2 linked regions of the Schizosaccharomyces pombe genome follow. The protein of the gene in region 2 interacts with the protein of the main gene of each other region in a pairwise test. Each region holds a gene or a part of one and is shown on either strand. Other genes may lie near its edges. The genes, in order: gef1 and hob3.

Region 1 (17,208 bases), on a different chromosome or scaffold from region 2:
ATACACACAACACCGGAAGTTTTAAAAGAATGATCCAAACCCCCAGTAGAAAACCTTCTTTGTTGTTTAATAAAGCAATTAAAACAATGAAAAGAAAAAATCCTAATGACTTAGAAGGTAGTGGGCGAAAGAAAATTATGCAAGTGATGGTGCATGGACTTTTAATAGTAAATGCTCATCTCCAATTAAAAAGCCTTGAGGTTCTGTTTACATTGGCGATATTGCGCTGGCAAATGCAAAGCCAGAATTAGATATTACCAGCATTTTTCACCTATTCTCCCTTAACACTGTCCAATCTCGTGAATTTGCGTCTCGCAATTTCAGATGTAAACAAATATTGAAACTGCGACGCATACATGTCACTTTGCTATTGTAAAACAGGCAGATCCCACACCCAGGTAAAATAAGAACCGAAGCAAAATTATGATAACGTTAAAAGGATTCATTTAGGAAAGGATAAACATAGTTAGTCACTAGCAAAAGAGAGAAAAACGAAATCATCCTTCTTTCGCACAATAACGAACTCATGCAATTCTTGCTGGTTGTTAAGGACATAGTGAAGTACAAGTGTTAGTGATATAATTCAAATTGAGATAATAATTTCATAAAACACGGACTTTCACTTATGTGACAATCATTCGCTAACTCGGTTTCATGTCACACAAAAAGCCACCATCGACTTAGTCGGGAGTGTAATATTTACACATTGGAACATGTTAAACGACATCGTTAAGCAACAGCGAGTGTCTTTACCGGACTTTTCACCAAAAAAATTTCGCTGCCCTATCTTGTACGCACGCAGAATAAAGCATTTCCAGCCAGTTATTGAACGCGCTAAAGTGTTGTAAAGGTCAATCTCGGATTTCATAAATTTCACCAATAAAGAAAAACCAAATTGCACATCATGTCAACGAAAATGACAGCTGGCTTTACACAGCCTCATATACTTAGTAGGTAATAATGATATGAGAGAGCATGGTGTAAGTAAAAAAAAAAAGGAATTTAGAATTTAATATTCTATGCTTGTAGTATATGTAATCACATACGTATGTGAGCAATCATTTTCTACCTGCAAGTTTTCTAGGTTTAAGGTTTTTTTCTTCGCTTTCTATTCAAATGTGTCATAGTTTCGCACTTACATGTAAACCAACATTTTCGAGCTATATTGTATGCAGCAGAAATGTAAATAGAAATATTTAAACTACACGTTTAAGTGTCAATTATATAAAAAAGAAATGTACAAAATTATTCAAGCAAAAGGTGATTTTTGTTTATTCATGCTATTTTAACCATCGGTTGCTTGGATGAAACATTTTCATTAATACTTGATTTCTTGATGTGACGGACATTCCTCTGTTCTCGTGTGCTTTTGTTCTCGACTATTACTTAACCATACTAGAAAATGATGAGTATTGTCGTTTTACAATATAGACGCAATACTGTAAACAACACCAGTATATAGGTAAACTGAAGATGAGTTGAGAACGAGACTCCTCCAATATAACTTACGTCTCTTTTGCTACGTATTCGTTGCATTTGCTCAAATGCGTTCTTGGAATGTATACGTTTGCGTAAATTAATCAACCCAGTTCGCCCTGAATAATTTCAAAAACTATGCGCAAATAGTTTATTAATAATATCAGATTATCCAACGCATTTGTAGAGCAAGTATTAATCTATGCAAACTCATTTGTGGGATGGAGCTTTTGCGTTGGGGTGTTAGTATATCCATTTTTTCTATCAGCTTTTTATTCTTAGTCAATTTATGCCAATACAAAAGCCAATTTCAAATAAAATGAAAAAAGACGTTTATTCAACTAATTCTGCTTTGGTAACCTAGTATTGTCATTACGAAGTGAAATCAGTTACTCTTCTGTTCTGCGTGTGTCGGTAGGACTGTTACTTACACCTATATCACATTATTACATGTTAAAAAGTATCTTCCAACTTTCATACTCCATTTCATTATCCTCTTATTAAATGAGTAGCCATATTTCCTGACAGCATTGGAGTATTTTCATACACAAATTCCTTTTCTGTTTACATGTAACGAATATTGGGAACAAAGCCAACCTCCAACGCATTTCGTTGACATTAATAGAGAATACAAATTCTTGACTCAGAAATTTTAAGAAATACTTCAAAAAACGATTATTTTTTTGTAGGAGATGCCCTCCTCAGACGTATGTAAAGCTGGTAGTCACAGGCATTCTGGATGGATCCAAAGTCTCAAAAAACCAGGGCCTTTCAACTTGGATGCTCCAGAAAACCCTGAAGAAACTCTTAAGTCTGCCTTTTCTTCTAAAATCTTAATTATTGGTGCTGGTGGTCTAGGATGCGAGATTTTAAAGGATTTAGCATTATCTGGATTTCGAGATTTAAGCGTAATCGACATGGATACTATTGACATTACAAATTTGAATCGACAATTTCTATTTAATGAAAGCAACATTGATGAGCCGAAAGCCAACGTTGCCGCATCAATGATTATGAAACGAATCCCTTCTACGGTAGTAACACCTTTTTATGGGAAAATTCAAGACAAAACAATTGAATTCTATAAGGAGTTTAAACTTATTATATGTGGCCTTGATTCAGTAGAAGCTCGACGGTGGATCAATTCAACTCTCGTGGCCATTGCTAAGACAGGAGATCTTATACCGTTGGTCGATGGCGGCTCAGAGGGCCTTAAGGGTCAAGCCCGAGTAATCATTCCAACGATAACAAGTTGCTATGAATGTTCATTAGACATGCTTACGCCTAAGATTTCGTATCCCATATGTACATTGGCGAATACTCCTCGATTGCCGGAGCATTGCGTCGAATGGGCATATTTACTCGAATGGCCTCGAGTTTTTCTTAATGCTTCAGTTGATAGTTTTTCTAAGCAAGAAGTTTTTGAACCGCTGGATGGAAAAAATTCCAATTTTGAACCAGATAATATCCGACATATTGACTGGCTCGTAAAACGTTCTATCGAACGTGCCAATAAATTTCAAATACCCTCTTCCTCAATCAATCGTTTTTTCGTGCAAGGAATCGTAAAGCGTATCATACCAGCGGTTGCGTCGACAAATGCCATAATTGCCGCGAGCTGTTGTAACGAAGCATTAAAAATTTTGACGGAAAGCAATCCGTTTTTGGATAATTACATGATGTATGTCGGTGAAGATGGAGCGTATACATATACATTTAATTTGGAAAAGAGATCAGATTGTCCTGTTTGCGGCGTATTGTCTGAAGTCTATGATATTTCAGCCTCATCTACCGTTACTTTAAAGGATATTTTAAATCATTATTCTAAATCTTATAATCTACAAAATCCTTCGGTTTCAACAGCTGCAGGAACCCCTCTGTACTTGGCTTCACCTCCAGCTCTTCAAGTTGCGACATCTAAAAATTTATCTCAACCTATATTAAGTATTACGTCGGTTGATGTGAACCTTGTAATTACTGATAAAAATCTTTCTACAAGTTTGTCTGTTCAGTTGAGAGAATGCTAGATTTGATGTTTATCAATCGCTAATAGACTGTGGATATTTTTGTGTAGAATAGCAGTTTCGCTGCATTTCAATATACTTATAAATTGAAAAGAGATATCACTAAAGAGATAGAGAATCTGCTTCACGCTCCTTACTATAATTCCTTGCTTATTTATAGTTATGTCATTTCAACTTTGTTTCAATGTCTTCAGTTTAACGACATCTCAAAAAAAATATATAAGTTGAAAAGATCTTATTTAATTTTAAAAAAAGAAACAATTAAACCAAATCAAAGTTATTCAACTCTAAATTACAAATCTACAACAGACAACAAACACGAAACGTATGCATACAGTTAGGTATTTAGCATATATAAGCATGCAATGTGCAAAGTATATTGCAAAATAGAAAGTAAATCAAATGCTTTAAGTTAATTTTATTTGCCTTTTTTTATGCTATTAATTTTATTGCTACGAGCATTGTCATTGAGTGATAAAAACATGCACTGCCCTTTGTTTAGGCATTTGCGACATTACTTTTCCATAAACAATTATTTTGATTCATGTTGCAAAAACATGACTTTTAACGACCGAATTTTCAAAAATTTTCATCGGAATAAAACAAGCGATATCATTTAGCAATAACATCAACAGAATTAGTATTTGCTCAGCAGCTATTAAATCCGCCTAAATAAAACAAGTTATTACATTTTCAAATAAATAGAAATTAAAAATCGTTCGAAACAAAGCAATAAGTCTTTTTCCCAAAAAAAAAAAAAATCGATAAATAAATTAAAATTTTCATTTTTGTAATTATTTTATTCGTTTACGTAGGTATACAGTAGAAAAACATGATTTTGCTCTCAACGGATATTTGACCGTGGACATACATTATTGACGCTTTTCTTACTACTAAGAGCCGGTTGACATCGACTTTCCATGAATGGAATCCCAATCTCGGAGACGAGAAAAACCGCATGGTTTATTATCAACTTTTCGCATTTATGACACTAAAATTGTTGCTTATGATAACGTAGAGAGGGATTTGTTGCTGCTGATACTCACTGGGGATTTACCGCTATCAATAGAATGGCTCACTAGAAAAACAATTATTTCACTGATCCGCCTGCAATTATAGACATTACTTTATTGATAGGAGTATTAGGAGAAAAAAAAAATATCAGTCCGGAACAGCTTGTATTTGGTTGAATCTGTTAAATAAATAAATATATATATATATATATTACTGCAGATACCGAAGCATGTAAGAAGCGAGCTTTTTTTGTCACAACACACCCGCCATCTGCACGCCTTTCTTAAACATTCACCATTCTCTGCTTGAATTGAGGAGATCAGGGTGCTTTTCTTCATTGCATTAATTGAACGATAGTGCCAATTTACCAAAGTATCAATTAATTCGGGCAAATCATTGACCCCTGGGAATTATCTCTGGAAAGCTTTAACGGTTGCTTGAGATTGGTGATCCTCTTGTATTTATTGTAAAATCTCAACTTTTGGTGTGATTTTACCGTTACTTTCTACCTCATAATTGCATTTGTTTGACATTTATAAGGTATCTTTAGCAAAGTATTTGCGAGTATTGGAAGTACTGTTATCGTCTTACATTCTAGGCTGTATTGGAAGTTGCAAGTGAAAAAGTGTCTTTAAGACGTACATTTTTTGTATATTCTTGATTCATCCTTCATTCCTTACCAACGTTGTCCTTTTGAGGTTTAAGATCTTTCAGCTTGCTTTTGTACTTGGTTTTAATACATTTCCATAGCTATTTAAATACAGAAAAGTTTACAGTTTCATTTCATCGCTTAACTGGGCCCTTTTATTCTCACTGTGTTTTCCCTCTAATGCTTTTAATTTAATTGATTGTTAAACAAACTTTTCTACCTTCAAAGTCTTGTCTGTTTTTTATTTTTATTTTTTTTAAAAAAAATCGCCTACCCCATATTTTCTCACTCATCTTATTCGTTGGGTGTCCCTTAAAAAAACTCATATTTATTACTTTTGAAGACTTTAAAAAAATTAATAATCCATGCCCACCCATAGCCTTAATCAGAAAAGAAGTTTGCTTTATCCTAGTATTGACAACGGGTCGGTCCCAGACTCTTCGTTCCTAAGTCAAAGCTTTAGAGATACTAATGACATTCATCTTCTGTCAGCTCGGTTGGCTTCTGTCGAAGTGGATCCCGAAACTCTTCCTTCAAATTCTCCAGAAACGAACGATGATGTTTCCAATTATGACTATATGTCTATAAGCTCGTACCAACGTGCACATTCTCTAGCCTCCACTTCTCGCAATGACTTTAATTATCGCCCCTCTGAAATCAATGAGACAAGACCTTTGCTTCCGGAACGTGAAGAACATTCTTCTCAACTGCCACCTGCTCAGAATCAGGTACTGCCTTTCCAGTCACTGAACGCTCCCTCTAAAAAACTGAGAGGTCGCATTTCGCTAAGCAAGATCTATCAATTCTTCTTCGATGATAAAGGTCCCATCTTATTTATCCTTAATATACCTGCTGTCATCATTGGATTACTCCTTAATATTTTGGATGCTCTCTCTTATGGCCTTATTTTATTCCCAATCTCCGACCCTCTTTTCAAAAATTTGGGGGCCGATGGCCTTGCTATTTACTACGTAAGTTGTGTTGTATCACAATTAGTATATTCTCTTGGTGGCTCCTTTTTTAAAGGAAGTGTGGGCTCAGAGATGATTGAGGTAATTCCATTTTTCCATCAGATCGCTTTCACCATCCTGAATCGTGTTGGTGAAGACAACCCAAAGTCCGTTATTGCAACTACAATTTTGGCGTATTGTTTATCCAGTATCCTTACTGGATTGGTGTTTTTTATTCTTGGCATCCTCCGACTTGGTAGGCTTATTGAGTTTTTTCCTAGACATATCTTGCTTGGTTGTATAGGTGGTGTTGGAAGCTTTCTTGTTCTTACGGCCGTTGAAGTGTCTTCTAGGTTAGAAGGAAGTGTTTCATTTAATTGGGCTTCCCTATCTGCTCTTTTTCAGCCTATGACGTTCGCAAAATGGTCAATTCCTCTTTTTCTCTCAAGCGCTTTGGAATTTGCTCAACAGAGGTGGCCGCATCCATTCCTCATTCCTTCGTTTTTTGTTATTGCCCCGGCTATCTTTTACGTTTTAGTTTGGGCAATACCAGGCATGAGTCTAGAGTATTTACGTGAGACCGGATGGGTTTTCTCTTCAACTGAGACTAACGTACCTTGGTATCATTTTTATAGCTTGTTTAGTTTACGTGATACTGATTGGAGCGCATTGTTAGCCACTGTTCCTGAAATGTGTGCTTTAACATTTTTTGGAATTTTGCATGTTCCTATAAACGTTCCAGCGCTAGCTATTTCACTTGGGCTCGACTTTGTAGACACTGACAAAGAACTAATTGCTCATGGAGTCAGCAATACATTATCTGGCGCTGTAGGCAGCATTCAAAATTACATGACATATACGAATTCTTTAATGTTTATTCGATCTGGAGGTAACAATCGCTTGGCAGGTATTATGCTAGCTTTGGCAACTGTAGCCCTTTTAGTTATAGGTCCTGGAATTATTGCCTATATCCCTGTTTGGACTGTCGGGTGCCTAATTTATTTACTCGGTATTGAACTTCTAAAAGAATCTTTATGGGATCCCATTGGTATAACCACTAAAATCGAATATTTTACTATTTGTGCAATTGTTTTCACCATGACTGTTGTGGATTTCGTTGTTGGTATTGTTATTGGCATCATTATGGCATGTGTTTTCTTTGTAATTCAGGCTTCAAGCCGTTCCGCTTTACGTGGAATTTATTCAGGTGGTATTGTTCGTTCTACGGTACGTCGTCCTATGAATCAACAACGATTCTTAAATGAAATTGGAAGACAAATCCAAGTGTGTAAACTCTCTGGTTTCTTATTCTTCGGTACTATCAACGGTGTTGAGAAAAACATTGCTGGATTGATTGAGGAGCTGAATGTCTCAAATAATCCGCTTAGATTCCTTATTATCGATTTTAGTCTTGTTAATGGAGCAGATTTTAGTGTCGTCCAAGCATTTCTACGCATTCGTCGTATGTTAGCGACTATGAATGTACAGCTATGCGTCTGTGGGTTGGATGAGACTCGGTCTTCCTTCAAAACATTGACTACTATGTGCTTTGGCGGCGATGATAATTGCGGTTGTCAGGTCTTTGAAGATGTCAACTCTTCATTGGAATACTGTGAAAACATGTTATTAGATGACTACGACGTGTATCGCACTAAACTTTTACACAAGGCAGGGTATTCACATACTTTAGCTGTGCCCGGAAAACACAAACAAAACATTTCAATGGCTGAAACCTTTTCACCATCACCCAGACACGATTTGCTAAGGCAAGTTGCTATGTCATCGGTCAAAGCTGAAACAAAGGAGTTATCGAAATTCGAAAAGTACGCCAAATACGAACAACCTTTCCCATTACTTATGCAAGTGTTTGGAGAGATTACCACTAAGCGAGAAGATTTTTGGCTTGGGCTCTGTCCATTCTTTAAAAAGGCGTTCTTGAGAAAAGGAGACTTATTATGGAGAAAAGGTGATACACCTTCAAAACTTGTTATTTTGGAAACTGGGATGGTTAAGGCTTCGTACCAAATGGATAGAGAAAGCTTATCTGAAAATATCACATGTTTGTGCGTTGTTGGAGAACTTCCATTCTTCAGTAAGACATGCTATAATGCCACAGTTGTAGCTGAATTAGATTCTGCTGTATGGATTCTTGACCGAGAAGGATGGGAGACTATGTTGAAATCTTCTGACAAGGCTGAAGTCATTGAAAATGAAATGTTATATTTAACTTTGAAAATGACTCGAGACAAATTTAATGTATTTACCAATTTTGCTCTAAATTTGTATCGATAAAATTGTTCCCAATTTATCAAAACAATAATTCTGCATTTTGGGTCATTTAAAAGCATAAAAATAACACCTGAAGAGGCTTGTCATTTAATTATTGAAATTGTTTTTTTGTTAAAACATACTCGACGCTTGATATCTTTTGTCAATCCCTAATTGCCTAATCAATTTATTTTGTTTATTAGGGTAATAAAATTTATCTTCTAATAATAAAAGTTATCGTTCTTATGCTTTTTTTTTTTTGCATTTGTTCATGATAGTCGTTTTGTTAAGCAGGAATAGTTTATACTTACTTTAATACTTTGAAAAGACTTCGAAATGTTAAATTGAAGCATTCATTTTAATAATACATGCTTACAAAAGGATATTGTTTACCAGTTTCTATTGATAGTTGGAAATATAATGTCCAAGACTTATGACAGCGCAGTAGTTTGTAACTCGTAATCTAAAGTAGCGAAAATTGATCTCGTTAAAAAATTTTATTACAGATGTCTTGAGAACTACATTATACTAATGGCTTGTCTTCTACAAGTTAGAAAATCATTAAGAGATGGACAAGCACACTCCTCTTCTTCCTGGCGACAGTGTTTTTTCACGTTGTAAAACTGAAGATAGTCGTATCAAAGGCTATGATCCAGTAATTTCACCTGCTTTAATTCAATCAGAATTAGCAGCCTCTGATGAAACACTTGCTTTTGTGTCGGATCAAAGACGCCAAGCCGCCGATATCATTGCGGGACGTGATGATAGACTTCTTCTAATCGTTGGACCCTGTTCTTTACACGATCCTGTTGCCGCCAAGGAGTATGCCATTCGCTTGCAAAAGGAGGCTATTAAGCACAAGAAGGACTTGCATATTATTATGCGCGCCTATCTTGAAAAGCCTCGTACAACTGTTGGATGGAAAGGGTTGATTAATGATCCCGATTTGGATGGATCTTATAACATTAATAAGGGTATTCGTGTCGCTCGACGCATTTTTCTGGAGCTTCTGGAAACTGGTGTCGGTATAGCGTCAGAGATGCTGGACACTATAAGTCCCCAATATTTAGCTGATCTAATTTGCTGGGGCGCTATTGGTGCTCGTACCACTGAGTCCCAATTGCATCGAGAACTTGCTTCAGGGCTTTCTTTTCCAATAGGTTTTAAGAATGCTACTGACGGTAACATTGGTATTGCTATAGATGCTATGAATTCTTCTGCCAACCCTCATCATTTCTTGTCTGTCACAAAGCAGGGTGTTGTAGCCATTGTTACTACTACAGGTAACCCTGATACACACATTATTTTGCGTGGTGGTAAAAGTGGGACTAACTTCGATGCTGATTCAGTGGCTGGTGCCAAGGCTAAACTCGAAGAATGCAACAAGCTACCTAGTATCATGATCGACTGTTCTCATGGAAACTCATCTAAAAACCATAAGAATCAACCCAAGGTTGCTGCTTGTATTGCTGAGCAGGTGGCAAACGGTCAGAAAGCAATTACTGGTGTCATGATCGAATCTCACCTTAACGAAGGTAAGCAAGCTATACCTGAGGATGATTTGTCAAGTATGAAATATGGAGTCAGTGTCACCGATGCTTGCATTGGTTGGGACGACACTACCGCCGTTTTTGAACAGTTGGCTGCTGCCGTCCGTTCTCGTCGTTCTCATTAACCTATAATGAAGGTTATTGAGACAGTTTTATAAAAATAAATTTTTTGGTTTCTTGTATAATAAATTTGTATTTGCCGTAATTAACAGTGTGACTTTTAAAAGGTTATTTATCGTACTTATCATTGCACTTTATCGGATGGTTCCAGACTGTTTCATCGTAAGTATTTTTATTTACGTTTTGGTTTTACTACGAATGTAAGAATTTGACCTGTTTTTGTTAGTCAACTAGGATAAATAACGACGAACAAAATTAATTCAATCAAAACCTAATTACATATTTTAAACATAAAACATAGTTAAAGTGAAAGTCAAATATTATATACATTATTAAAGCATATAAATGAAAAGTGGAAGCGTATGAACAAATAAAATGGCATAACAGCAGAAAAGCCAAAACGTTCCTAGTTTAAAAAAAAAAAGTGAAAAGACAATAATTAATAGCTCGACTTGAGCAGACAAAAATAATGAGATGCATAAAAGGAAGGCGTAAAAGCGTTTAGAATCCTAATTTGAAACTAAACTTAACAGGCCTCTGTGATAGACAAAAAAAGACCGTTAAAAGAACCTAAACGAATTGTAATCAGACAAACGCAGATATTAGGTTAAATAAATGTAATTGTGATGTTAAATACATGGAAGCTGCAAAAAACCATGGTCCAGAGAAACGTTTTCATCATTCAAGTAACATGAATGCAGTATATCTAAATGTGTATATATATAGAACAGATAAAAAATATTCGACTAAAGAAGTTGCTCTTAAACCCTCGCAGCTAAAGAGACACTTTTCATTAATTCCTCCAGCAATACCTCGTCATCATAATGCATGGGTTCAAAGGCTCGAACTAACTCTGCATAATCTTGCGTTTCTTCTAAGATGCTATCCCTCATGTCTTGAGGGATAAGAAACAAGAAACCTTGAGCGTAGTTTTCATAGAGAGAGCGTTGAATACCAATAAAATGATAAACAACACTGTGAAATTCCTTCTCAACAAGAGTAGAAATTGCCTCAAGCTTTTGAGCAGGAATCACAAATTCAGCGCTGATAATGAACTGAATAACTTTTTGAATCACTCGTAGGATATTTGTGATTGGGTTAAGGATAGAAGAATTTAAAGACGTTTGTATTTGAGAAGGAAGGTTAGCAGTCATCATGTGCGCAAGTAAATGATACTTACGCCACGTATCTACCGGCTTGTCTTCGGGCTCTAAAGCACTAAGCCCTTCAAGCTCTGCTAAAACCTTTTCAAAAACCGAAAATCCACGATGTACAGTAACGTACCACGTTTCCAATGTAGCATGTAAGGCTTTTAATATAGCGAATCGTTGTCGAAAATCTTGAAGCACTTGGCGTTGAAAATTCAATCGAGCATCAGTTTTTAACTCAGTAGATGTAGTGGTGGGCCTAGATTTATTCGATGTTGCTTTATAGAGTAAACTCCAAGCAGCGTCTCGTTTATGAGAAGCACTTAACGACCCACGCTTATGAGAAGGCTTCTGCTTCTGGTTTATACCAGATATTAACTCCTGTAATAGTTGATAAGAAAGGACCAAATCTGGGCGCTCAGAACTACTTTCAGGAGTAACATCAATGATTTTTTGCAATAATAGGGGGTACTTGAGTAAGCGCTGTAAAGGTTTAATTATTAAACTACCCAAATCCCAGGCGTTCGTGTATTTTTGAACTATTTTATCACCCTCCATAATCCAGGATGCAGTTGCAGGTTTCTCTCTCCATTTAGTGATAATTTTGAAAACCGAATCTTGACGGTTGCAATAACCAGTATAAATTTGACCGATTTCAGAAAGGCTTTCTAAAAAAATAAGACCTAAATTGCAAGGAAGAGGATCTATAAGCTGGGTATCCAAGTTTACACGCCAGGAGCCTTCACCAGCTTGATAAAGTCGACTATGGAATTCCACAGTAAAAGTTAATAAAGACTCTATATCGCCAAAAACTGTTTGGGCGTCAACTGGATTCAATGCACTGCATTCTTTGACCCGCAAGCCATAACTTTGTTGAATCGCAATGAGATCGTTTAAATAGGCAGCTTCAGTAGTAACCAGCTCTTTAATCAAATTTGCACGCTTTTTAATACGCTTATATTCTGGATTGATAGAACTGGCTTCAGACATAGCAAGAGATTCCTTTGATAAACGCTTACCTGGTGTGCTCGGTAAAGAAGTAGTGGCATACGAAATTGTTCGGCTGAGAGACTCATCAGTTTCCAAGGCCAAAATAGTAGAGTCCAACTTAGTAGAAAAAGAAGTAGTATCAAGAGGTGAAAGGAGGGACGCTGTAGACGAATGAGAGGAAGGCATACTTGCCAAAGTCACACTGGAACGCTTTTCTTGTTCATCCGTAGAGCTACCAGGTAGATACGCCGAAGTCCTGTTACTGCTAGTTTCAGAGGAATTCTGTGCCATAAAAGACCCTAGGCCGCTAACTCTTCGTGAAGTTCCATTGCTACTCGTGTTTGTATGTATTTTTCGAAGTGTTGTAGGACAGTTATATGATGGGGAACTAGGCAACGAAGGCAAAGTATATCGGCTAGACTGAGCATAATCTTGACGATTGCGGTCCCCATAAATACGATTAGGGGTTAAAGTAGAACTATTAGAGGCTGTAGAATCCCCATTTAATGAGTGGCTCATGTTGGAGTTTGGCAAATTGAAGGAGCCCTCCGAAAAGAATCTTCGGTGCTGAGACGATACGGGAGGAGTGTTTGGAGTTTGGGGATCTTGTAAAGCACGAGCAAAGCTTGCTCGAGACCTCCTTCCACTACTCAACCTGTATTCACTCTGTGATTCTGAAACATCGCCATCAGTGTCGTCTGATTGTCGGTAAGAAAGCGAATAACTGTTAGAAGGAAGGCTTAAATTGATAGATTTTCGTTTAATACATGCAGCTCGATGAAGCTTGCTTGTTCCAGGCAATCTTGGTAAATCCCTGTTTGCCAAGGTTTCAAAGTACTCAGGCTGATCAACATTGTTAACACATATACACACATTCAAATCAAGTATAAGGACATACGGAATCGGACATATCCGAAAGATCTGCTTTTAAAGTCTCCATATTGAAAACATTTGGAGAACAATAAAATGAATGACAATTTTGGAAATTTTGTTTACATGAATTTTATTAGGTAACGTTGTTGGTAAAGCACAGGTTTTGGAGATTTGGCGCCAACTTCTTCTTAATCCACTTTCAATACCTTCCACTTCCTTATCTTCATTACCAATGCATAACGTAATCACCCACGAAAAATAGTTTGCCAAAAATAGGCTTGGCTCAGCTTTTTGAGCGCCAACCGCGGACAGAGGCAGTTTACCTTTGTACTTGGTTTACAAATGGTTGCTTGCACAGGTACATAGTAATATGACTTGAGTATTCGATTTTGTGATAAACATTTACGTATTTACAATTTGTAATATAAGGTTAAATTTATTCATGTCTCCCTTTATGAAATTCTAGAAATGACAGCAGTTAAAATAAATTCCACTGTTACGGTTACAAGTTAATAAATTTGTTATTTCATTGTTTTAATTAGCTTAAATATTTAGAGCGGTTTTGTTTTCTTGGTAATGCACGTAATTTGCTTTGTTTTTTTTTTTTTTTTTTTTTTTTTTTTAATAAGTAATAAACATTAAAGATGTATATAAACAGAAATGAGAGAGAAGCGGCAGTTGATTGTCTTACATAACTTTGGTAAACACTGTATAATTTTAAAAGAAAATTTTTATTTTTTTTAATAATTACTTGAGGCTAATACGCTGCATTTTCTGTCTGTAGTACTTTTTTTCATATATTCAAAAAATCACGATATCTAATACTAAGTGTGTATGATAAACAGACCTAGTCAAAATTCCTAAATATTCTACGGTGTTCACTAAAAACAAATATAATGTTTCAGTAAATTAAACTAAAAATACTATTAATCGACAGGCCATAAGAAAAATATATATTGTAAAAAAAATGGAAACTTCCATTATATCTATTAAGATTTCTTCTAATTTCAAAAAGGAAGTGTTATTAAATCCTTTAACTTGTAACTTCGTTAGCGTCCGACATAGCTAATCATGCTTATAAATGGTTTGTTAAAATGCAAATGAGTAACATCATTAAAAATGATAGAATTAAGAAAAAAAGAGCATTAGTGTCATATAACTTGCAGCAGGAAGATTTAGAAAATATATAACAACATGTAAAGCTAGATAGCAAGGTTTTCAATTAGAGTCTTCAAAACTGGACACCAGCGCACACAATTAGTTACAACACCGGCACACATAATTTCTACAATAAATGCCTTCGCCTCACTAATGTTTCCTGTCAACGCCAAGCGACATGTTTGCGATAATTTTTGTAGCCAAAAGCCTTCCATGTTTTCTAGTTGACCTTGTAATAGTAAATTCGTTTTGACTCGTTCACCCAACATCTTATGAACAGAATCACTAAGATTTGATTTACTTTCTATAATTTGCAATAGGGAGTGCCTGACATCTTCACAAGAAGCTTCGTTCATACAATCGTTTGTTGTATCGTTAAACGTGGTAAAGATATCATTGTCACTGCTTTTCTTCATCAAGTTGAGAGGATTACTGCTAATTTGAGGAACAGAGATATTCGTGGGAGGAACAGATATACTCCTGTTCATAATTTTTGAAGGTGAAAAAGGAGGAAGTGGTGATTTACTAAGTACTTGACCAGCTAACGGTTTGGGTGCCAGCATGTCATCACCATAAACCAAACGTCTACTCGAAGCCGATTTCTTTAAACTTGATGTGGAAGACGTTCGTTGAGTTTGACTTAAAAAGATACCAGAAGAAGGATCGTTCCAGTGCACCTCAATTTTCCCAGTTTGATGTGAAGTCATGTTGTGTTGACGCAAATAATGTTGTTCTATGTTTAGTTTGTTTAAACGAACGAAATAAATAAGAATCTTTCTATCTCGACCAAAGAAACTGGCTGGTGTATTCCTTTATAGCAGTTCAAGAAGGTTTGTGGTAGTGGATAAGAAGAGACGAATGCAACATTGCCATATATCACATGTTCAATAAGGTGATTTCAGCAGCGGAACTATTAAAAACAACGGTAGTAGGAAAAAATGGTAAGGTTATTATAATAAGGATAAATATAAGTACTTAGAGCATCAAAGTTCGTAGCTGACGAATAATATCGACATTTTGGTGTAGTAAAAATTACCTACTCAGTTTTTACAATAGCGCTGAATGTGCAACGTACGGGAATATCATAATTAATACAATAATGGATTTCAAATAATAAAGGTCAGCATATTGCAATGGCTCCGATGTTTGAATAATTATCCATTCGAGCGATAGAAGTAATTAACATTTAATATCCGTAGAAGCTCAACTACCATCTAAAGCCTGAAAAACTTAATCAACGACCTTCTATTTAAAATCCGTTTATTACCTGAAGCAGCTTTTTTACAAAACAAACAACAAATTCATCATATTACTCATATGAAATAAACTGACACTACAATCTTACATAATTATAATCTACACATTAAGTACAATAATTAAAATTTCACAAAACAAAATTAACCACTATGCAATCAAACAAACTTCTTTATTAGGCAGATAGAAGCGGCTATGAAGAAATCCCATTTAGAAATGTATAGAAGAGAATGTCACACCTGCTTAATTTACTCTTCTTCGGCTTCTTCTCCTTCACCGCCCTCTTGAGAGCGGAGACGTTTTCTCTTGCAGCGACCAGGACGACCACCACCATAAGGAGAGGAGAGGGCAAAGTCAATGTGCTTTTGAGTATCCAAACGGACAACAAAAGAAGGAACATTGACAATTTGCTTACCAACACGAATGTGACGTTGGAAGATCAACACACGTGCATGATGGATAGACTTAGCCAAACCAAGCTTGAAAACTTGGGTCTGTAAACGACGCTCCAAAAAGTCTTCGATACGAAGTGCCAAGACATAATCGAGCTTCATACGAGTCTCATCCAAAATACCCAAACGAACAAGACGACGAATGATGGCATTACCTTCAAAAAGACGCTTGGGATCCTTCTCATCAAGTGTCAAAAGCTCACGGGCGGCACGACGAATCTTGGAAAGGGTAAGAGCCACACGCCAAATTTCATGTTTGTTTCTCAAACCGTATTCACCAGCAAGCTTGAGTTCGGCATCAAGACGAGCCGACTCGAAAGGACGGCGAGGGACCTTGTAAGTCTTGGATTGCTTGCGCTAATTTAATGTTAGTAATACTCTTATATACACTTGATTACTTACAGGTGCGGAAGGCATTTTCGTGGTGAGAAAAAGCACACCGTGTTCATTAGAGATGTGTTGTGGCTTGTGACTGTCTTCCAATATAGGGTAGGGTTTTTATTTTTATCGCAGTGTTGTAGGACTATACTTCAACAAGTTAATTTGTTTATATGTAAGAATTATGCTTTTCTCGATTTGATTTAATTTGTTGTAAAATATGCCAACTTCCAAAACGTTGGTAACGTTTGTTACTGTTGTTGAACCGCAGTATCATTATTTCATTGATGTTTTTCATTTTTCTTTTTTACTTATACTTATTGAGAAAATAATTCAAAAAAATTTAATAGCTGATTCATTGTGTAAATAAATATCGTAATCTTTAACCTGAGAGACTATCTCATACCCTCCTATATGACTTCATTCAAGATACTACACGAGCTGAGAAAGATTTTCATAAAATTAAGTAATTCATCAAGGACTGGCTGATTTTTTTTTAACAGGTGTTGTAGGGACACACACGAACAATTGAGCTTTGTTTGATTTGTGAGCGGGGGATTCAGTAACGATGTGATTCTCAACGGTGCAAGCAGAAGCTTTATCTAATGAATTCATTTTTATAGGAGTGTCGGGTAGTTCAGTTATTACAGAAGAACTTTTTCGCGGAGTAGCTTGCACTAGAATTGAATCCATCGAAGGTTCTGAGCGCTTAGATACAGATCCCTCGAGAATGCTAAGTGTTTTTGACCGAGAAAGAGAAGAAGTTGTTTTCGGCTGTACACTTTCCTCACTTTGTCCTTGTAAGCTTGCCATGGTAAGTTTCTCAGTAAACGATAAGTTTCTTCGTGGAAAATTTGTAGAAATATCATGCATTGAGTTTCTTTGTTTTGACAAAGACGAAGAA
Region 2 (16,005 bases):
TGCAATCGTTAACTTCCACTCAATTCAACCATGTTGGCTGAATTTTATCAATAACGCTCATATACTGGTTCACTCGATCCAAATTTCTGACATGTGAGTCTCCAGTCCAGAAAAGTTTCCAAGGTGTTTTGCTTGACTTTAAGGAGCCTACACTTCTTTCAAAGTACCATTTATTGACTGGATTAGTCAGGCGAGAGCGCCATATCAACTCTTTGGGAAATAAATCAGTCATAACATTAAACATAACATCAGATATTGCTGCTGAACCCTGGGCTCCTTGTGAGACGGCAAGCTTATCAAGATAAGGGACCTTTTCATTCGTTGTTCCATCTGGTTGTTCATAAGTTACAATGGCTGTCCCTAAATAGTCCCCTGCAATAATGACTGCAGCTAGCGAATTCTTCAACCTATCTAAATATGCGTCCATATCAAGCGTTCGCTTAAAGGAGTCATTAATTAAAACCCAAAGCCTTTCCCACGAAACGGAGCCATCAGTTAGACATTTCGGACCTAGGAATGTATATACCGGTACACCGCTACGCAAAACAGTTGTTTTCGTAATAGGAGATCGATCGCGCGGCAAGGAACATGAAATAATAGAGCGATCCGTCAAAACATTGTGAATTAACGGATTTTTGTCTAAGACAGGATTTGTAAGCATAGCATCCTCAGGCGTAGTGATTAGAGCAGAGGCATCATCCGGTAACATTTTCAAACAGCGTCTTACCAAAATCAAATTTTTTCTATGATAAGGTGGAAGTGTTTTCGCTAACTCGTCAAACTCTTGAGCCAGATTGATGAGAACATGACTAGAACCAGTTTGTCGTTTAGAACATGGCATGCCACCATTTTTATCAAGAATGACGATTCGGTCTACCCAAAACCCAAAGTTTGGCTTGTGTAACGAGTAAGTTAAACCAGCAAGAACCTCATTACCATCAATTGGAACCTCAATGACGTTGGGCATTAAAATCGAGCTTGGCACTATGACCGTGTAAAGTGAAGACAGCGCTTGAAAAATACCTTGCACATTCTCAACACTAGGGCCTTCAGGGCCCAATTGACATACAGAGGAGTAGCTAGGACGGGTTAACACTCCCGCTTTCGAAAAAATTTCCGAAACTCGAATGACTCTATTTTGCTGTTGCTGTAGCTCCTCAAAGATTGAAAGTTTACGTTTTTTCGCTACGACCGTACCATTCTCCAAATATTTAAAAGGAGATGTCATGCCAATTGGATTGGAAGTGGGAACAATCACTGATTGAATCCCTAAACGTGCCAGGCTATTTATACTTCGACCAATTCCATATAGGGTATTATCACTTAAAGAATCCACATCATCAATTTTGGTAATAGAAATTCTGTTTAAAAACGAACTCGATATTGGCTGAGCGAAGGATTTCTTGTTGGGAGAGCCATCCTTAAGCGAAGAATGTTTTTGCAAAAACCCTTTCGTAGACCTACGAGATTGGACTGATTTCAATATCCAAATAAGGTCTTGTGACAATGAAGGTTTTTGCATTCAAAATTATTACCTTAAAACGAGAAATATAAAAATTTGACAATCATATACCGATGACCTAAGAGCAAGATGTGATTTAGATGAGGGTGACTATTATGAGTCCGAAACCCACCACACAAAAAATTATGCTGTAAGGAATAACAACCAATAAATGCTATAAACGAACTCCAAAATAGAAAAACAAAACTTTAAATAAAAAAAGACATTAAGCCCAAAAACGGTACTATTGATAGGCATTTTTGTACTGTTCGTTGGTGATAGAGATGGCCTTACCAAGGGAACTTGAAATTTCATTCTCACCAGAGGAAATGGAATTTTTAGCTGGCAATGAGTATATTAACATTGTTCCTTCAGAAACAATGGATCAATTGCCGCTAGTTAGCGCGACGATTCCCATTATGAAGCCTCCCAAAAAATGTCGGGTTCCTTTATGGTTGGCTCTTGAGCTAAAAAAGCAAAATTTGGCAAGGATTGTACCTCCGGAATGGATGGAAATAGGCAAACTTGAAAACATACGAGATGATGAATTGGAAAACGAGACATTCTCAGAGTTGCCTTTTCGGTGGCTAGAAACGGCGCATTTATTGTTAAACTTCTGTGCTGATGATATCGAGGATGTTGAGGATATCAGGAGGATTTTGCTGGACATTCGAGAAGCTAGACAAAGTAAAGCAAGAACGGGATTGGAAGCCATTAATGAAGTTCAACTAACTTTGGATAATTTGGGTGCAATGGAAATTAACGAAATACGTCCTATATTTCGAGAGGTGATGGACAGAATGCGCAAAATTGTTCAAGTTTCCCAAGAAGAATGAGTTACTCATCAAAAGTAAAGTGGGAAATAAATGGACTTCACATGAGAATATTTCGGTATCGTGTGGATGATGTACTTTAAAAATAATGATAATGAATCCTACGAAGTGTTTATGAATACCAACTTTGTAGTAGTGAAATTTTATCACAGTAAGCAGTAGATGAGGGTTTCACACTTGCGACTTTGAACTCGATTTGGAAACGGTGGTGCTTTTTGATGAAGAAGAAGAGGAGGATGCCACCGTTTTTGTAGGTTGTCTAGCGGACTTTTGGGAGGAAAGCTCGTCTAGATTATAAAATTCTTTTATTTTTCTGAAATAGTAATTAGCAATTAGTGTTTCCAGTAGTACGTATGGCAAAGTAAAATTTGATATTACACTTACGTTCTCCACGGTGTGGCAGACACATTGCAGGAAAGATGGTTCTTTAGATCGCGCAGATGCATATTTCGTTGAGCGCGAGGAATAGCGGCGATACGCATTTCTCCTCGCATACGAATTGTTGAAGCAAGTAAACTAGCGTTTGAGCGCAAACGTCGTACTTTATCGGAAACTGAAAAATACCCGTTAACACTTTACTACTTCCAGGTACAAAAACTTACGTTCAAATGCTAAATTTTCAAGTATATCGTTCTTGTGTTCTTGGAGAATTCGCTGTCGTACTTGACGATGTTTCGTCTCTCCAAGCTCTTCCACTCTTTTACGCTTGTTCATCATTAAGCATTATAAATTATCAAAAAACAAAACAGATGTTTGCTAACAGCTGATCAAAAGACGGTACTTCTGGGTGCGCTGAAAAGGTGGTGGGAATAAGAGTTGTTGTATAAACAATAAATCTTCAACTAATATGTAAGTAACATCGTTACCTAATACTCAATATGTAAACAAACGTTAGAAAGGAGAGGATTGCACAAAAAAGCGTACCCAAAAGATATTTTATAAATTGAAAGAAGAATAATGACCTAGAATTAGAAAAAAGCAGCAAGTTTACAAAATAAAAGCGTTGAAACACATCACTTTAAAAGGTACATAAGAATTGATGATGCTTACTTCTAAGTAAATTATTAATAATATCAAATAAAAAAATATTGTACGAGGTAAAAGTCTCCCTCTTCAACTACATCGCATACAACATTGAAAACTGTTTAAAAAAGATATTTGGTATAACGTGTTCCAGTGCCATACGCTACAATGCAACCTCTGTTGTATTATATTTCGACTGTTAGCTTTTTTTTAACCCAATTCATAAGAAAATAGTTATGCCATTCAGTTAGTGACATTATCATATGTGTACATAAGATTATATATTCGTTTGTGACAAAATGCACTGCAAGCCGTCCTCACTATTTGCAATCCTGGAAAGATCGACAATAATCGTTATACACATTTACCGATATGTAAAGAATAGCTGCTTACCATTGGTAGTCGCTAGCGCCTGCGGAGTTACAAACCACCTAAACCAACCAACCGACCAACGAGACGAATATACCGTAACGAGCAGAATTTTGATTCCTGAGATCCTCCCAATAGTTAGAGCAATTGAAATAAGAATAGTCATTTTCCAATGAATCCATATGAGCCGGTCGAGGGGCTTTACGTGAATGCAAAGCAATACCATCGAATTTTGAAACGTAGAGAAGCTCGCGCAAAGTTAGAAGAGAGATTGCGTGGTGTGCAGACTACGAAAAAACCATATTTACATGAATCAAGGCATAAGCATGCTATGCGACGACCTCGTGGTCCTGGTGGCCGATTCTTGACTGCTGACAAAGTATCAAAATTGAGAGCGCAGGAAGCTGCAGAGGCAGCTGCTAATGGAGGAAGTACAGGAGACGATGTTAATGCCACAAATGCCAATGATGCCACCGTGCCTGCAACCGTTTCTTCTGAAGTGACTCACACGTCTGAAGGATATGCGGATAGCAATGATTCAAGACCTAGCTCTATCTCCAACTCGTCTGAGTCTCCAGCTCCTATCAATTCTGCCACAGCATCTATGTCTCCTGCTAACAATACTTCTGGAAACAACATTACTTCTCCAAATGTCAGAGGCGAGCTAGACATGAGTGGTAATATTGCCATGTCGGGTGGGCCCACTAATACCGCTTCCACCTCGGGGCCAGTGCCTCATGATATGACAGTGCTCCCACAGACCGACTCAAACACATCGAATCTTATGTCCAGTGGTTCTCAACTAGGCAGTTTTGCTACAGCTTCTACCAATGGCAACAACTCTACTACTACTACTACTTCGTCAGCTGCTCATCCAGGGTCATTTCATAAAGGTACTAATGATTATTCATCTACACTAGCTGGAAATGAGCATAGTGCTTTTCCTGGTCTGGATGTGTATCACGATGATAGCGTGTCTGCAGGTGCAGCTTTTATACCACACAATCCAATGGATTCGATTGATCACCTTGATGTCAATGATCCTACAGCCACAGGTCTCCCTGTACTACCAGCGAGCGATATCGATCCTCTTAATTTAACAGGCAATACCCAAGATTCTATGATAATTGGTCAGCAAACATATCCCTCACACGGTTCTTCAGGAACCATGAAGTAGTCAACTAATTAAGGCTGAGAGAGATACAAAACAATCACAAGACTGTGTATAGGTTGTCGACCTACCGACAAAGTTCAATTTAGGACTGCAATGTTGTTGGTGATTTTTTGAGAAAGAAACAAGTCGAAATCACTCAGTCATGGCCTTTTTGCATATCATATTATACTCATTATTTTTTTAGTCACCGATTTATTATCCATCAATTTGTTTTGACTTTTTTCGTTCTGCCCAATTTTTTTTTTTTATTTAACTCATATCCCTCCTGCTGTCTTTTTCTTATTCCAATAATATTTTTTCTCCGACCTGATTCTTCTGTTATTGTTTTTTTAGTGTTTTTTTTTCTGTTTCTTTCAAACTTTGATCGTGCAGCTTAAGCTCTTTCTTAAATGCAACAATACATTCTACTGTCTCATGTCATGCTTTTGACTCTCTTGATCTACATCAACCTTAATTAGTGACATTACTTACCAAGTAGCCAGCGTATCCCAACCAGGCTAAATAAGGAATTAACCATTTGGAAGCCGTTGGTGCAAGAGGCCACCATGTCTTTGCAAGCCAACCAACAAGTCCCGTCAAAATGCCGAGATCGGCAAGAGCCAATTTTGGTTTTGCTAATCCGTAGAACAAGGGCATCCAAGCAAAGTTAGCGGCCAACTGTGCAATGTATAAAATGGATCCATTTCGAGAGGCATTCGTAATCATCAAAGGGTCAGCCTTGTACGCCAAATGGGATGCATATCCCATTGTTAGGTATAGTAGTGTCCATGCTGGTCCAAAGGCAGATGCAGGGGGGTGGAACTTTGGTTGCTTTTTGTTCTCATAATCCTTTCTTGGCTTGTAGGAATTCCCAATGAACCAGCCGCAGGCGACTGGAACGAGAGAAGCGGACCACCAATTTTTGGAGATGCTAGTGAATACTTGATAGTTCAAATCCATCACACTTAATAATATCGTTTACTGTTGATTAGCGAAATCGGGAAAAAAAAATTCCACGAATGTAAAGAGTACTAACAACGACTGCTACTAAAAAACCATAAGTATTTCGAATCTTAATGCAGCTCGTTTACAAACAGCAGAGATAATGTCGAGATACAAAAGGTCTTTCAAACCATGCTAAGCAAATAGACATGGAGTAGCTAGAGTTAAGTTTGATAATTAAAACTGACATACATTAAACTAGAAATTTGGAGAAGAGTTGTTGAAACTTCTAATTGAATTGAAGATTAGTAAAATTGGACCATAAAGCTTAACCATCTTTCAATCTTCCATACATTTTAAAAACGGGCACAGTATCGATATGAGAGAAATACGATACTAAACTAAAATAAAAGGAAATACTTAATTGTAGTTTGATCTTGGAAGCTACTCGAATGTATAATTCACCATATTTATAACCTCGTCTATTACGTCACAGAAGGGAAGGAGGAGCGAGGTATTGGGGTATAATACGTGTTCATACTGCGTAAGGTGGTGGTAGATGTGTCTCGCTAAAAAGTGTTTATAAGGAGTTTTCCATAAGATAATATTTTCAGTACAACTAAATTTTTTATATTATTAATATTATATTATAAAATTATGTATATCTATTAGTAGCAGCGCTTGTTTTCTGTAATAGAATATATTTGGGCTGGTCAAATGCGGTTAATTATCATCACACAGATGAGATTTATGGGCAAATTTAGTTATAAAATTAGATAAGACAACAAAGAGAGAAGAAAGGTTTATTTCGGTGCTTTTGTTTCTTACTTTCAGAAGAATCTTTCTCTTGGGCATTATCTGGATGTCTTACTGCCCACAGAACAAACAAACTGTCATTGAATGGCTGAGTTCTTGTTTCAATATCTAATATCGCTATACAATAGCTCTCAAAGTAATGCACCACTACTACAACTTAAGTTCTTCACTTTTTGAGTAAGGATGCAAACTATGAGACCGGGTTTTTTTAGCTCAAATGTCGCTGAAAAGCGTTTTCTTTATAGTTTTATCATGAATGATCTCATATATTGATAAGTAGCAATCGTGTCTTTCCATGTCGAAGCCTCAAAACATTATATCCATATAATGCAAAACCATTTATTCCACCACTTCTAATGAAATTTATAAGTTGGTAAAATGTCCGTATTTCAAATTGCTTCTCCACAATATCTTCCATTTATGAGCAAACGATATTACCTCTATATTGTCAAGTTAAAATGTTTACATTGATATATTATATTAAACTATAACATAACTATATTACCTTATAAGGCGATTTCTGCTGGATGCAGTTAGTGAACAAGAATTATCTGAGGATAGACCTCTAATTGCAGTCAGAGATTTACTACAGATGATTATACAAGAAAAATTTAGATATATTTTTTAAGCGATGTAATTTATTGATAGTGACATGAAAGTAAGCCAACCCTCGAAACCCAAATTTACCACCATTATGCTCTTGCTCTATCAATTAAACACAAAATTAACGACACGCTTTTCATCCTTATCTTTTTATAATTGCATTGTGAAATAAACTATCATTATTCTATTTAACGCAATGATAAACTTCGCAATCAGGCTTTACGTTATGGCTTTGCTTCCGTGAATTGTTCCCTACGCGAATCCTGCTGAATCCACTAAAAGATCCAATGCAGCTTAGCTAGCGAACATTAGCGCAGCGATCAACTGACATAAGATATCTGGGTATGCCGACGCTTCTCTTTTCCATATCACAAAAATGAGTTGGCATGGATTCAAAAAGGCCGTTAACCGAGCGGGTACCTCGGTATGTATTTGAGTGTTGAAGAATTGTCTAACATTGTGGTAGGTTATGATGAAGACGGGTCATGTTGAGCGAACGGTGGATCGGGAATTTGAAACAGAGGAAAGACGTTATAGAACTATGGAATCAGCTGCAAAGAAGCTTCAAAAAGAAGCCAAAGGTTATCTCGATGCTTTGAGAGCCATGACTGCGTCTCAAACTAGAATCGCTAACACAATCGATGCATTTTACGGTGATGCTGGATCGAAGGATGGTGTCAGTGCATACTATCGACAAGTCGTCGAAGACTTGGACGCCGATACCGTAAAAGAGTTGGACGGTCCTTTCCGGACAACGGTGTTGGATCCCATCTCAAGGTTCTGCAGTTACTTTCCCGATATTAATGCCGCTATCACGAAGCGTAATCACAAATTACTTGATCATGATGCTATGAGGGCTAAGGTTCAAAAACTGGTCGACAAGCCTTCCAACGACACTACTAAGCTTCCCCGTACCGAGAAAGAAGCAGCCATGGCGAAGGAGGTCTACGAGACACTCAATAATCAACTGGTCAGTGAGCTTCCGCAACTAATTGCTCTTCGTGTGCCTTATTTGGACCCTAGCTTTGAAGCCCTTGTCAAAATTCAGCTCCGCTTTTGTAGGGAGGGATATGAGAAAATGGCTCAAGTTCAGCAATACTTTGACAACTCTGTACGCGAAGACTATTCCAATGGTTTGTTGGATGATAAAGTTGAACAAGTTTTACAGAGTATGCGGGATCTTTCCATCGCCGGTTTGAACAACAGTCAGTAGACATCGGTTTTTTAAACACGATTGTATGTGTGCATAGCGCTATCACTCTGTTTTCTCTTTCCTTTTCTCCTCCGAAATAATTGTTACTACACGTAACCATGATCTCTTATCCCTCAATACTTTTTGTTTAACATATCCTTTCTCTTTTACTACTTTATTACCATCTTATCTTGTTTATCTGAAGTGGTTCACGGAATGTTTTCAATTTATTCAATTTTTTGTGATACATAAATATTTTCCATACTTATCTATCCTCGAGTATTTTCTATTGGTGTTACTGGAATTGAAGGGAAAGCCAGCACATATTTATTAAAGACTCAACTGTGAAGCTTCTACATCCTTTCAGTTTCGTAACGTTTCCTTTATAATTTTTTAATTGGGAATAGTTATCAAATTATCAGATAAACAAATTGGTTTTCCAATATTGTCTGTCGACCCAGCGATTCATCTACTAAACTGTGCTTATTTTCTATCTCGTACCAAGTTTTGTTCTAATAAATAACTATTGTTAAGTAAGTTTAGACCAAATCTTAAAATATAATAATTAGAAAAAAAAATGCTTTTGTTGACTTACGAATTATTAATTTGAATTGTAATTTATTAATTTTCCAAACAATAGCTATCTTGTAAGCTGTAAGTCAAGTTGGAAGTGGGTTTATTTCTATCTGTGCAGCGTTCGATGTTTGATTTTCGAACATGGACTTAAGCGTTCAATTTTACAATAGCTGTGAATGTAGATTATCGCTACTTTAAAATCTAAAATATAGTATGGAGCTACAACTGCTAGTAACGTCTATACAGGAAATGATATTAACCAAAAATCTTTCTGACTAAGAACATAAATTTAGTAATCTAATTCTGGAACCTCCTGGTTAGGCGCATCCAAATCTTGATAAGTTCTATAGAATTCCCGTCTGTGGATCATGGGTTCTTGCCTCGAATAAGATTTTTGTGATGATGCTCCAGAAGTTATCTCCTCGTCATTTCGTCGACTATAGCTTGTTGTTGGAAATGTATAGTTTGCGTTAATATTTCTGAAACCAACGTAGGGCTTGTTTAAAATCTGTAAGGATACATACGACGTGCTTACCACTTTGGGATCCATAGCCCTACATGGGTCAAGCACATATCCATAGAGACATATAGCCACCTTTTTAATGTGATCCAACCAATCCTTATGCTTTTTATTTATATGCTTTCTGACAAACTCAGGTCCTAAGAAAAGCTTCGCGCATGTTCCGACATGACACCTATATTTTTGTTCATCTTCTTTCATAATAACAGAGTCCAATTCGTTATTAATAAAATCTTCAACGGGTAATGCCCCTTTTGCTTTAATATCCACATTTTCAGGCTCAAGAAGGCAAGCAAAATTGTTTTCCAAATCTGACAACCAAATATTTTCTTCTTGACCGACTTCTTTGGATGGATTAAACTTTTTCCGCGAGTAACCTGCAGGACTATCCTGCAGTAAAGCAATTAAACTTTCGTACTCTTTACTAGTCCAGAAATCAAAAGTAGCCACTTGGCGAAGATACTCGGCGTACAGATCACTTAAACGAATGTCATGAAAATTCGTCGGCTTATCATCGTCATCTTTCATAGATGCATGTGTTTTCAATCGATCTTCGATACGTTGTGCAGCATCATTTGGTAAACTATACTTCGTACTAGCCCGATCTATAAAACGGATTAGTTTTTCTAGCAAATTTTTACATGTCTGCTCAGAAGAAGCGATTTCAAAAATAGGTATGGGATGCGTGTGAGTAGGAATTTTTGGATTTTCAGATTCAATAGTAAAATTTGAATCCAATTGAATCCCATCCACCGCTTCTTTAGCTCCATCCATATTTGTTCCTGCTTTGAAATGAACCCAAAGTGAGCGTTCATCATTCTTGATTAAATTAATAGTAGAAAGGGAAAAATGTTGTACGAACGAAATACCATCGAGTGCATTATGAATTTGCGCAACCGAGATGTTGGGCAAAACATGACTGACCAATAGTGTATTTTCCATTGCATCGTTTCGAGAGTCTTGGTTCCATTTGGAAAGTTGCGGGTCGTTAGAAGGAAGAATTGAGTCATCTGTATCATTATCAGGTATTGACGGCTTTTCGATTACATCCTCAGCGGTTGGAAGCTGAAAATCATCATAATAACCGGCGTCTAATCTGTCCATGAATTTATCGTATAACGCCCGGCGATAAGATTTCTCATTTTCAGACACTTCAAGGACTCTTCCTTGTGACTCGTCCACCCAATAGCTGTCTTCAAACCAAGCTTCGTCACAATGGCTCTCAACAAAACTTCTTGCGGTCCTAGCGTATAGATCCTGTTTATAATTGTTGTAAGTTCCATGAAGCGAGTTGTATAAGTCTTCAGTTGTTGCGGATATATGGTTTTCCTTGCTATACCACCGAATAAACCGTTCATAAGAAACCGCATTTGTTTGAGTATATGGATCAATTAAACTAGTCTCCTTGTTAGAAAACTTTGGTTTTTCACTCACATCGAGTAGAGTATTTATTTAGTCGTAACTTACGGTTTAGTAAATGTAGGGTAAGGTCCAGAAGCTAGACGTATTGTAGTTAATAGGTCAATTCATAGAATTTTATATTTATTCTTACCTCTTGTTCTATCATCATAGTAATTACCACGCTTTCGTAGAGGAGACCGTTCTCGATGATACGCAGACTGTTCACCAGGGGGGCTCTGTGAACGTCTTTGACTCCGTTCTATGCAAAAAAAGGATGAGTATTTCTATCAAACTAAACATTAACAACTTACCAGGAGAGCGTTCTCTTTTCCAACGACTGTACTCTACTTCACTTTCTTGATGGACCTCACTCATATTTTGACACTGTTCCCCTTCTATAAATACCAGCAATCGGGATTAATTTATTAAAAAACTAATGATTTCAATTGGGTCAAAATTGGTACTCAACCTGCTTAGTTGAAGAATGTTCTTACGAGAGAGAAATATCCATACAGCACTTTATGCTGGTACACTAAGTTTCATTATTCAAAATATAGAAAATTGTCAAATACTTTATTATACGCATCAGTATATCTAAATAAACTGAGATTATAAAAGCAAATGATTAAACAAAAAAGTGAGACTTCGAATTTTATGCGAATGCTATTGAACAATTAATACTAAACATTGTCTCATTATCGTCAATAAATACAATGTTGGATTACTTAAAAAACTGTGCTTACAAAGAGCTTAGAAGCACTCTCACAAAAGTAAACAATAACATCTGTTTTCAAATCACTGAAGATCTAATTTCCATTGTATAAACGGTCAAGAAAGGTACAACTTGCATACCAATAGTAACTTTGGTAGCATAGAGTAAGATTTCTTTTACTTTTGTTCTCTGCTTCAGATATTGAAGCGTAAGTTATCTCATTTCTTGTGCAACAAAAAAAAAGTAGCTTTTGCACGTCCTCTAAAAGATATGCCTCAGACAAAAAATTTAAAAAAAAAAACAACCAAATAAATAATAACATGAAAAATGAATTAAGCACGTTTGCTTTAAGAGATTTATTCGAGCTCAACACCGGGCCAACCTTGGAGATCACTTAACTGGGCTCGTATATAACTAGTGTTTGCTCCAGGATAGGACTGAGAGGCAAGATCAGTACTTTGGAATCCAATCAAAAATACTTTGCGAAGCATTTCCCAAAGTTCCTCATTTGATTCGCAGCTCTCCATTGAGGTAGAACTGTTTTGTATAATATCAATTGCAGCAAGTAGATGTTTTGCAGCATCTTCAAAGTATCCTAAATTGATGTTGGAAACAGCCATGTTTGAGCGAACTCGAACATACTGGGGCTGTAGAGATACTGCCCGATTATAGGAAGAAACAGCTTCAGTATTTTTTTCTGCATTTGTTAAAGCAGCACCAAGCTTATTCCACAATATTTCGTTACTTGGTTCGTCTTGAAGAGCTTGCCGAAAACAATCTGCAGAACGCTCATACTCCTTCAACATATACATAATTATTCCTAATCCAGCTTGTACCTTGGAGGAACGCTTCTTAGCAAGTGATAACTCATAAGCTACATCCAAGAAATACATCTGCATTTTCAAGAGATCGTTAGCAGAATCTTTCTCTTCAAACCTTTCGTTTATCTTTGCAAACCTGTTTCGGTATTGGGGAAAACTGTTGACTATCCAGTCTTCTAAGCAAACCAATGCCTGAACATTTAGAGACTGATTAACATAAGACACAGCAAGATCCATCATTAAGTCAAGATTGGTTGAATCCAATTTGACAGCTTCAAGTAGGGCTTCAACAACCCGCGATTCGTTTCCCAATAGAGTATGAATGCGACCTAACCATTTCCAGGCCTCGAAGTGCTGTGGATTCTCTTTCACAGATTGTTCCAATAACACAGCTGCTTTCGAGATAGATCCTCCATTTTTTATTAAATTCATGGCTTCAACAAATGGATCTATTCCGTTTAGCTCTTTCACAACCTCTGAAGATTCATCTTGGTTCTGTGAATATACATCTTCCGTTTGTAAAGAGTTTTCAACAACGTTATCAGTATCGCTATGCTGGAAAATTTGAGGATCTATGTTTTTATTATGAGCTAAATTATCATTAGCAAAGCTATTCACAGACGAAGTGTAAGGATCGTCAGAAATATTGTTTGACTTTAAAAAATCTTCCCATTGTTTCTGGTATTCCTCTAAACTTGCGGGCTCTAGCCCGGCGTTTTTCAATTGCTTTTGATGCTCTTCCCATAGCTCCTCAATTGATTTACTTCCAGTAGCATCCTTTTCCTTCTCTAATTTATTGGAGATTTGAGAAGCTTCCTCAAATTTCTTAGCCAACTCAGTTTCGTCAATAGCTAAAGAACTTTGTAAGGGTATTTCAGTATTTGAAGATAAATTTAGTCCAGCGGAACCAAAAAAAGATTGTTTTAAAGGTTGGTTTAAGTTTCGAAAACGGTCGTTTTCAGATGAATTGAGAAATACTTCAGAGAATTCTGATGTCCAAGCCGACTTACTATTCTGCTGCTGAAGAGAAGAAAAAGAATGTACCCAATTTTCTTTCGAGCCTCCACGAGTAGTTGTGCCGGTATGATTTCCAGTTTTTAAGCTAACTGGGTTCTTAACTACATTACCTAAAGGACTATTGTTTCCTTGGAGATTTTTGAAAGATGTGAATTGATCCTCAGACAGCGTTTGCAAAGGAGCGTAAGTACGACTTTGAGACTTGGTTAAATGTTTTCGATATTGAGCTGAAGGTGTTGAATTATTGACAACAGCTGTGGAAGTCAATTTCTTAAGAGGATTAGATAGCGTTGAACATCCTGCTTCAACAGACATTTTTGAAGAAAGTAGACTATAGCCAATATAAAGGCTCTCGACCAAAAGGAAATAGTTTTTTAAGTAGGTTGTAAGAAAATTAATATCAAAGAATGAAAAATTTCGCAACTTGATTGAATTTGCGATGTGTTTTAAAAACCAAAAATATGAAAACAAAAAAGCGGAAGAAGTAACGATGCAACTAACCAAAAAACAAAAATTGATCGCACCAATGATTGTTACAAAACTTGCGTATAAACTCAGGCATGTATTGCTGCTTATTACCAATTACAAAAATATTTAGATGAGTGCGCTCAGTTCATGTAGATGCTGAGCGTAGCACGTTAGATTAATCGCTTCTGTAATACACCACATTAACCCATATCAATTTATAATAAAGACTTTCTCTTTATTTTTTCAGACTAATCTATTGCCACTAAGGAATTTAGATTTCAACATTTTATTATACTTTTGTAAACCATGCTGCATATGTTAAAACCATAGCTTTATGATACAGAGAAAAAAATCCATATTATTTCTAAGTTCTTTTCAAATTAGTGTGATTAGAAAGTTAAACCAAGGGTTGGATTGAAGTATTAACTCTACATCTATTTATTCACCTGTTGTCTAAATTACAACGCCAAATGAATTAAATCACCAAATACTTCTGTCGCTCACAATAAAATGTATTAAAAAACTAATTAATTTTCGCTAGTCAATATTCGCTGTAACAATGGTTTTGGTTGTTTTCTGCTTAATACCAATTGATGCCACCTACAGTTCACATCCGACAAATATTTGTTAAAGAACCTGTCGCTAATTAAAGTGCTAAAAATCGCTCGTTCAAATTGTGATCTCATTATGAATTAGCATATTAGTTGGCGAATTTAATAAAGCCAAGTAATAAATTGATGATGTTATAATAACGAAAACATTGTATACAACAACAATTCCGCTTCATAAGTAAAAAAAGGTATTTAAATTATACGAGTCTTACAAACTATTAAAAGTCTTTGCCGAAAAACTATCGCGTAAGAACCATTTGCATTGATTTTACACAACTTTGAATACAATTTCTTTTATACCAAGAAGCTTAAAGTGTTCAATTATGATAAACAATGACTAATCCAGAGCAATTGAAGAGGATACTTTCCCACGAAGTTCTGCTGAAAATTGAAATGTCAAAAAATGGAATAGTGGAATATGCCAATCCTGCATTTTTTGAATTAATCGGCTACGAAGGAGATTTATTTCAATGTAGTTTCTATGAGTATCTTCAAAGCGATGATGAACACTTAATGAAGAAAGCAACCGATAATCTTTTCAGAAAAAGCATATCAGTTGCACATGTCTTTGCTTTTCTCAGATGTAATCCAATACGCAGTCCTAATTATTATATTCAACAAGCCAAAGCTCCATTTGAGGGAAAGACGTATATTAGAATGCTTTTTCGAGGCATTCTAGTAGACTCATTGTATGGTAAAGATACAAGGGTTTTGTGGGCAGGAAAATATTTATATCCACAACGGTCCGTGATCAACGAAATGGATTTCATCCTGTTTAACACGTTAGGGATTGGTGCCTTCATTCTTCATGATCATTTGCTCGGAATAATCAAATACAATTATATACACGTTCCTCCTCCTTCAGGAAAATTATGTTCGTTGTGTGAAGATAATTTACCAGAGTGGTACTTTGAGGTACATAGCGATTTTTGCCTTGTTTGGAATGATCTCGTACGCCGCGTTTTCGCCGTACAACAATTGATAAATTGTAAGAAGCTGGAAATAGAAGACATAGTTAACAAACTCCCTACGGGTAGTAATCATATGGTTGAAGAAACCTTTCTTTCCTTGCCGGTCATAACAGTATTCAACGGGAAGAAAAACAGAAAACAGAGGTTTCGCATTCGATCATGGAGAAGCTCTCTGAACTTTTTGGTTAAGGAACTGGACAAATCCATTAAAAATTTTGCTTATTTAGAACATCGAACGTTTTTGACAATTTCAAATTCTGCCGCGAAAGACATGAAGCGAGAGATTTATGAAAAATCATTGGTGAATTGGGAGTATGATTTTCTTGTTCCCTCAAAGATCCAGGATTATTTTTACGATGTTCATTCACTTCTTTTGAAAAATTTATCGTCTAAAATAAAACTCTGTAATCACATTTTAATGTATCAAGCAACGTTTAATGAAGTTAAAAATTTTCTTCAAACGTACTCCTTGAATA

The links.
Region 1: the proteins of hob3 (region 2) and gef1 interact in binary tests that used the Schizosaccharomyces pombe proteins (3 or more experiments, as listed by UniProt).

The regions. Positions count from the first base shown.
Region 1 is NC_003424.3:459,771-476,978, forward strand, and holds gef1 (RhoGEF for Cdc42 (Gef1)), read right to left. Parts: upstream 13,221-17,208; 5' UTR 13,130-13,220; coding exon 13,088-13,129; intron 13,033-13,087; coding exon 10,813-13,032; 3' UTR 10,211-10,812; downstream 1-10,210. Other genes in the region: NEDD8-activating enzyme uba3, read left to right, coding at 2,169-3,503; vsb1 (sulfate transporter), read left to right, coding at 5,529-8,405; SPOM_SPAC24H6.10C (phospho-2-dehydro-3-deoxyheptonate aldolase), read left to right, coding at 8,950-10,056; SPOM_SPAC24H6.08 (uncharacterized protein), read right to left, coding at 14,265-14,927; rps901 (40S ribosomal protein S9), read right to left, coding at 15,723-16,283, 16,329-16,343; DNA replication pre-initiation complex subunit Sld3, read right to left, coding at 16,779-17,208. UniProt on the Schizosaccharomyces pombe protein: Has a role in the control of cell polarity and cytokinesis. Involved in bipolar growth, via modulation of cdc42-shk1-orb6 signaling, and septum formation. Stimulates guanine nucleotide exchange of cdc42.
Region 2 is NC_003423.3:1,214,808-1,230,812, reverse strand, and holds hob3 (BAR adaptor protein Hob3), read left to right. Parts: upstream 1-7,607; 5' UTR 7,608-7,616; coding exon 7,617-7,664; exon of another isoform or gene 7,665-7,706; coding exon 7,707-8,453; 3' UTR 8,454-9,069; downstream 9,070-16,005. Other genes in the region: acetylglutamate synthase Arg6, read right to left, coding at 20-1,522; GINS complex subunit Psf2, read left to right, coding at 1,786-2,337; nbl1 (borealin N terminal domain-containing protein), read right to left, coding at 2,506-2,647, 2,719-2,887, 2,937-3,051; CCAAT-binding factor complex subunit Php2, read left to right, coding at 3,899-4,903; tsp0 (tspO-like protein), read right to left, coding at 4,818-4,844, 5,372-5,839; pir2 (C2H2-type zinc finger domain-containing protein), read right to left, coding at 9,298-10,924, 10,996-11,026, 11,081-11,188, 11,241-11,304; peroxisomal targeting signal receptor Pex5, read right to left, coding at 11,998-13,794; serine/threonine protein kinase Ppk31, read left to right, coding at 14,892-16,005. UniProt on the Schizosaccharomyces pombe protein: Involved in cytokinesis and septation where it has a role in the localization of F-actin.